Linked DNA regions of Sus scrofa. The protein of the gene in region 2 purifies or fractionates together with the protein of the main gene of each other region. This does not show direct contact. Links are inferred from orthologs where the notes say so. Each region holds a gene or a part of one and is shown on either strand. Other genes may lie near its edges.

Region 1 (3,747 bases), on a different chromosome or scaffold from region 2:
GCTTGGTGACTCAATTATTTTTGTACCTCCTGGCATATCATTAAAGCTTTACTGTACTGAATTGAGTTCTTCAGCATGATTTTACCGTCTTTAAACAAAGTCAAAGAGAAAGGGCGTAAGATTCATCCTTCTTTTTTTGGCCAGGCTCACAGCTTGTGGAAGTTCTCTGGATCAGGGATTAAACCCAAGCCACAGCAGTGACAAGGTCAGATTCTTCTTCTTCTTCTTTTTTTTTTTTTTTTTGTCTTTTTGCCATTTCTTGGGCCGCTCCTGCGGCATATGGAGGTTCCCAGGCTAGGGGTCGAATCAGAGCTGTAGCTGCCAGCCTACGCCAGAGCCACAGCAATGCGGGATTCGAGCCGCGTCTGCAGCCTACACCACAGCTCATGGCAACGCCGGATCGTTAACCCAGTGAGCAAGGGCAGGGATCGAACCCGCAACGTCATGGTTCCTAGTCGGATTCGTTAACCACTGCGCCACGACGGGAACTCCAGACAAGGTCAGATTCTTAAACCGCTGAGCCACCAGGGAACTCCTAACATTCATTCTTATTTAAATCATACTTCCTGGACTCATGCACCTATAAATCTGAACCAGGGAAGCCCTTCCCTAAAATGCTTAGCTCCCAAGAGCGTAACATCTCAGTCCCAGCCGGTTGTCAGAAACCCTCTTCCAGGCTCTTAAATTCTGTTGTTCCCTCCCCCGCCCGTTCACCTCCCAACAGACTACCCGCCCTCCGCTCCCCGCCCCCAGTACTCTCTGCTTCAATAGTTCGTTGTATCTGTGGTTTTTAGGCTTCAAATCCTTTTCGGAAAAAGGTGAGCCACGGGCATAGGAATGAGAATATTGTTACTCCCTTGGTCCCCTCCAAGTGTCCCCAGGTTTCCACCTTCCGAGCACCTGTCGCAGTTGGAACACTGCTGCCGATTACTTAGCAGGTGTCACCAACCGCGCTGCAGATTACCGCCAAGAGGCCCTCAAGGTCCCCGCGCGCTGGCTCTCGGGAAGGCGCGTGCGGGCTCGCCGATTGGCTGGCGGAGCCGGCTCCCGAGCCAATGGGAGCGCTCCTTGTTGTCAGGCGCGCAGTCCTTCCGACGGGCGCGGGGGTCCGGCGGACGGCCTGTTGCCGTGGAGACGACTCGTGAGTTCGCGTACTGCAGGTTTGGGGAGGCCCCGGGCTGGGGTGAGGCTTGGAGGTGTGGTGCTGAGGAGCGGCTGGCTGGGGGCTGCTCACGGAAAAACCCAGGCTGGGAGCCCGAGCGGCCGAGCCAGGCCCCACTGCCGCGCGAACCTCTTGGCGGCTCCCGCTCCGCTTGGGGCCTGGGGCGGGGGTCTCAGGAACGCTGTGGGGGTCTCAACAACTCAGCCGTCCCGTCTGCGGTCGCGGAACAGGGCCCCGCACCCACCCTTGCTGCGTGTCCTTCCACTTAACCTTCGCGGCGGCGCTGCGCGGCGGGCACCAGGTGGGCGCCCCTCGCGGGATGGGGACTGAGGCCGAGAGGTGGTGCGGCCGCTTGTCCCAAGTCCCCAGCTTCCCGGCAGGCTAGCCGACTCCAGACTAAAAGCCTGGACCCACTGCCGTCCCGGAGGAGGCCAGGTGGAGCTTTCTGACGTCGGCAGGTGTCTGCACAGGCGGCTTTAGGGGTTCCTTCACCCCTTGGTGAAGGGCCTACTGTGTATGCGGACCAAGCGGCTGGGGTTCTTTCTGTGTGGTACATAACCGTGGTTAGGACCCATGTGTCCTCAGAGACGTCTGGTTCAGGGGTCAGCAAACTTCGGTTCTAAATAGAGTAGTTTATATGATACTATTCCTTGTGACAATAATGAGTGTAATTGTGCTTATAATGAGGAGGGGGCATAGTTTTCTTAGCTCTGTTGCTGTATTGTGGACACAGCCAACGACAGTTCGTAAAGTTGTTTCAAGAAAATTTCATTTAGGGACACTGAAGTTGCAATTTTATGTTGTCAGTAATTTTCATGTGTCATGAACTTTTCAACCATTTAAAAATGTAAAAAGTGGGAGTTCTTGCCATTGTACTGTGGGTTGTGCTGCCCACCCTAGCGTCTTGGGTTGCTTCTGAGGCAGGGGTTCAATCCCCAGCAGTGGGTTAAAAAGATCGAGCTTTGCGGCAGCTGCAGGGTAGGTAGGTTGCAGCTGTGGCTCAGATTCAATCCCTGGCCTGGGAGCTTCCATATGCCATGGGTATGGCCATTAAAAAAAAAAGAAAAAGAAAAAGCCATTCTTTGCTCTTGAGCTGTACAGAAACTGTGGGCTTGGTAGCTTGTGGATCCCAAGTCTAGCCCAAAGCCTCATACAGTGGAGGGAAATGACCTAGAGACCGGCATCTGATGCCATGTCAGTCACACGGCCCAGGCTTCCCCATTCCCAGGCCAGAGCCTGCTAAGAAACATCACCCCTTATCACTGGATCTGGGTGAGGTGCTCAGGGTGTGCTGTTGTCATGTGTTCTGAGGGCCATGAAAACTGTACCATAAAGATTTTGGAAACTCATGAGGTTTAAGTCCTGAATGTGCCTTTTTGGTTTTTTAAAATTTTATGGTCCCACCTGTGGCATAATGGAAGTTCCCCAGGCCAGGGGTTGCATCACAGCCACAGCTTTGACCTGTGCCACAGCTGTAGCAAAGGGGGATCCTTTAACCCACTGCGCCCCGCTGGGGATAGAACTGGAGCATCCACAGCACTCCACCAGTTACTTAGTCTTTACTAAACTTCTAAACTTTTTGGCCTTGCTGAGTTTTTCGTTTGTTTGTTTGTTTGTTTTGCTTTTTTAGGGCCCAACCGGCAGCATATGGAAGTTCCCAGGCTAGGGGTTGAATCAGAGCTTCAGCTGCCGGCCTACGCCACAGCAATGCAGATCTGAGCTGAGTCTTCTATTTAGACCGCAACTCATGGCAATGCCAGATCTTTAACCTGCTGACTGAGGCCAGGGATCCAACCTGCATCCTCTTGGACACTACGTTGGGTTCTTAGCCTGCTGAGCCACAGTGGGAACTCCCAGCATCATGTTTTTGTGGTTCATCTGTGTTTTCATTAGTTCATTCCATTTTATGGCTGATTGATATTCCATTGTATGGCTGGACCACATTTTGTTTATCCAGAAATTAGTTGATGGCCATTTGGGTTGTTTCTTCTCTTTGGTTATTATGAATAATGTAGCTGTGAACATTCCCTCATGGATTTTGCAGCTGCAATGTTACTTCATTGTATGGAGGTGCCATAGTTTATTTATTCATATCCTGGACTATCTGTGGCCATTTAGGTGGTTTTCAAGATCTTGCAATGGCAAACAGTGCTGGAACCCTGTGCATATGTATTTTTACATGGTTGGAGATGCATCTTCAGGGTAGATTCCTAGGATTGCTGGCTTGAAAGGTAAGTGCATTGGTGATTTTGTTGCCTGTTATCATACTCTTTTCCAGAGGGGCTATACTAGTTTGTTTGTTTTTTTTGTGGGGGGCTTGTACCAATTTGCATTCCCACCAAAGGTGTTTGAGAGTAGTGCCTGTTTCCCCACAACCTTACCACCAAGAGTGTGCCTTTGTGCTTTAGTTTTTGCCAGTGTGTTAGGTGAGAAATGGCATTTCAGTGGGCATCCTTTATTGCTGGTATTAAAGGAAGTCCTTCTGGTGTTACTTCATTTAATAAATTTTGGCTTTAGACTAAGGTATGTGTGTTTTAACATTGTTAAGAAAATTCCAGGAGTTCCCTGGTGGCACAGCAGGTTAG
Region 2 (3,747 bases):
ATGCTTACATAGGTGCCCAGGGAGGTGAGGTATACAAGTCGAAGTAGATGTATTCCTGACATCAATACTGTAAAGATTCTGATGTGATTAGCTGGGTTCTAAACAGATCCCAGTTACAAGTGGAACACAATTCAGCTTCTACCAATGGCAGGTTTCAGCCACCCAATGGCAAAGCCCTCTAACAACATCCTGAATCATCTATCTTCCCCGTTCAGAACTGGCTCTAAAATGGAAGGCATCACTTGACAAATACTTGTAATTTCGAGAACTTCCAATGCCTAAATACTCCAGTATAAGGTGGAGTTGATTCATCAAAAGTTTCCCTCTTGCATTTGCCCACTTTTATATGCAACTGAAAATAAAAAGGAAAAATCAGACTAATGGGCATGAAAATGGGCCTAGTGGTTGAAATGCCTATGAATGTAGGCCTGTATACTATGGGAAAGTAACCAAGTAGCTTCAGAGTACCCTATTAATCTGTTTTAATTTTATTATCAATGGCCTATTTAGGAATTAGTTCAACAAATGAATCGTCTTTCAAAACGTGCCCTACTTATATATGTGCACATAGGCTTTATGTATGTAGTAAAACTACATGGAAAAGCACAGACTAAAGTATTATAATTACTTATAGATGAGTGAAATGGGGGAGGCACTGAGTATAGAGAATGGTTACGTTATTATGTCTGCACAACTTTTAAAAAGTTTATTACAGTAAGCATGTTGTTTCTGTAATTTAAAACGTTAACACCCTACATAAAATACATGATATAGAGATTAAAAACCAATTTTTAAAGTGAAAGTGCTTTACATGCCATGGTTAGCATATTTTTAAAAATGCACTTTGTTAAACACACCTGTAAGTTAAAAGTACGTCTATTTAATTTTAAAATTACCGTTGGTGAAGTTAAAACTTTTTCCTCCTCAAATTTTCAAAATGAAGCACTGGACAATTTTAGTAAAATCGCGAGAGTAAGACCTTAGCAAACTTTAGCTTTCTAAATATTACTGCACATACTAAAAATATTTATCTTTTTTAAGACCTTAAAAATGGACTTAGAAAAAATGGCACAAATTTCTGCATTACCATCAGGACTTAACCTTTTATTTCCTAGCCCACTTTTTTGTGTTTTATGTTCAGGTTATTTGGATGTGGAGTTATTTTAATTAGAGTTCAACACGTTCTTGAAGAAAGTCTTCTTTCAGACTACTTAGAAACCAGTGATAAGGTCCTGGAAACTATTTAAATATTTTACTTATTTCTGCATTTGGGTTAAATGTAACCACCTAGCTAGCAATATTTTCTTCCTGAGAGAAGATTTCGGTCCTTAAGGATGAGGAGTCCACGCCGGTCGGGGCGAGCCTGCGCGCCAGCATCCCCCAGGCGCCTCGAGCATCCCCGGCGCCGGCCCTGGAGCGCCGGCCCGGGAGCACCCGCGGCCCCCGGGGAGCGCCGTCGCCGGCCCGCGGCGCCGAGGGGCCGAGCCTGCGCCCGCCTCCCCCGCTGGTTGGTCGAGGGAGCCAGAAATCAGCGCGAGGACAGCCTCGCTCTCCTCCCCGAAGCGGCCGGGCATGGCCACCCAGGAGTGTACGGTAACTCCGGCATTAGCTCTAAAAATGGATCTGCCTCTCGCTCCGGGGCAGGAAGGTGGGCAGGCGGGGCGCCGTGTTCGTCACCCGCGGAGAGGAGGCGTCGTGACGCCGGGGTCGGTGGCCCAATTCTCTACTCTTGGTAAGATGGCTCCGCTGCTAACTCGCCGGCGCGACCACACACATGCCTCTCCCTTTCCACCTCGTCGCCGGGACCGCGGGGGCCGTGGAAGCCATTCGCGGCTCGGGGCCAGCCCGGCGCGACCCCTGGCCGGTGCCGCGGGAGAGAGTGCGGGTCTCGTGAACCGCCCGCCCGCCAGACAAAGCTGACAACATGGCTACCTCCGCTCGAACAAGTTCCTCGCAAGTTGAGCCGCAGCAGGCGCCCCGGCTGCGGCCGAACGCCGCGCACGCCTCGGCGGCCGTCGTCCATCAACTTCAAGTTTCCCTCCGCAGAGCCGAGACCGCAGCTCGCCCGGCGCCGAGCACCGACTGCCCGCGCGAGGCCGGGCCCGGGAAACTTTCAACGTCTGCAGCCCGCAACTGACAGCCCGGCGGCTGGCGGGCGCCCGACTCACCTTCAGACAGGTCCTCGATGCACTCGAAGGTGATCTCGAACTGGAATGGGTTGTAGAAAGGAGAAGGGTTATCCAGCACCACTACATTGTTCACCTGAACCTTTGCCATATTTTGAAAAAAACACAAACAATGGGAACGGGGGCTTGTTGCGGCACAATAAAGTCCAGCGCGCGGCCGCTCGGGAGAGCGCAGACCCCCGCCCCGGCGCCGGCCCGACGTCGTGCAGCGGCGACTTGAGAAACTTTTTTTTCCTCTTTTTATTTACACGGGAACACTCCACTGTGTTTTGCAGCTTTCCTATTTCACTAAACTACAGCCCATTCTGCTCTGATAACTAGCAGCGTTGCCCGCGATTGGCTGCACCCGAGCTCTGACCCTCCTCCTCCAGCGAGGGCCTCTGCGGCGAGCAAGATGGGCTCCCGCTCCCGGAATGGACTCGGAAACTTTAACTGCGGCTCCACCTGCTGGTGTGGATTAGGACAAAGGCGGAGAACAAAGTGAGTGGAATACGGGCTGGGAGGCCCGCGCGGAGGCCGCCGGCGGCGGCGGCGGGGGGAGGGGCGGAACAGGCCCCGCCCCCCGGCCCGGCGGCTCCCGCGCCGCACGTCGGGCGTGGCCGCGGCGGGGCGGGGTCGAAGGAGGCGTGGTCACGGGCGAGGCGGCGGGGGCGTGGCCACGGCGAGGAGGCGTGCTCGCCGTGGGCCTGGCGGCGGGAGGGTGTGATCTCAGGCAACGCCCGCCTCTTGGGATTGCTTGCTGTGGGTTTTTTTCTTTTAACGCTTTTTTTTAAACATCAGTCCAACGGCTTTTCCGGCTCTCTACTGAATTAAGCACATGTGAATCTGTTGTCCACAGTAGCTTAGGTTCAGCCTCTGTATGTTGGGTAATATTGGGTGTAGAAAAAGGGTTGGTTGCAGTGGAAGTATATTGTATTTTATAGACTGATGCCAACTCAAAAGGAATAAAGCCATTTTGGAAATGTAGTTCTTGGCCAATACCTGCGTTTGGGCACAATAGCGCCGTTAGTTAAGTAGATACAAAATGAAGGGCGAGAAGACGCTCTTCCGCACACACTTTGTGCAATAGGTAATACTTGGGTGGCACCTCGGTCTTCTTTCTCCCATTCCAATCTGGAAACTCTAGAATAAGAAAAAGATTACTGGAGGTGGGATCAGTTACACTCCAGGTTTCTACTGTGTGGTGGGCATAACAGGAAAATAAAAGGAGAAAATTGCAGTGTGAGGAGACCAAAAGGTAACAGATATCAATAGAGAAGGGAAAAGGAGAGTAGGAATCACAAAGGAATACTGACATGCAATTTTCAAAAAATCCATGACCTAAAAGGTTAGTAAATACAAATTATGGCACCACAAACAAGGGAAACTGTTGCTTGATTATTCCACATTCAGTGTCTATTTGCTGTTTGACTATCTTTGTAGGGAAAAGATAAGCTCGTAACACATTTATAAGATTGTTGAACTGTTTCTATTTGCCAAGTAAGAGTGGTATAAAGGTTTTCTTTTTTCTTTTTCTGCTCTAATAGAACCGATATTTATAAGCCACTTTTTTTTCTTAAGA

The links. Proteins that work in one complex are often made in the same cells at the same time.
Region 1: the proteins of ASF1A (region 2) and CABIN1 purify together in Homo sapiens (affinity purification with mass spectrometry; 4 studies listed by BioGRID and IntAct, counting the BioPlex papers as one, with this or other methods). This does not show direct contact. The link is inferred for Sus scrofa from reciprocal best matches to the Homo sapiens genes ASF1A and CABIN1.

What each region holds. Positions count from the first base shown.
Region 1 is NC_010456.5:49,785,023-49,788,769, reverse strand, and holds the start of CABIN1 (calcineurin-binding protein cabin-1), read left to right. Parts: upstream 1-1,056; 5' UTR 1,057-1,160; intron 1,161-3,280; exon of another isoform or gene 3,281-3,393; intron 3,394-3,747. UniProt on the Homo sapiens protein: May be required for replication-independent chromatin assembly. May serve as a negative regulator of T-cell receptor (TCR) signaling via inhibition of calcineurin. Inhibition of activated calcineurin is dependent on both PKC and calcium signals.
Region 2 is NC_010443.5:43,212,294-43,216,040, forward strand, and holds the start of ASF1A (histone chaperone ASF1A), read right to left. Parts: upstream 2,727-3,747; 5' UTR 2,278-2,726; coding exon 2,169-2,277; intron 1-2,168. UniProt on the Homo sapiens protein: Histone chaperone that facilitates histone deposition and histone exchange and removal during nucleosome assembly and disassembly.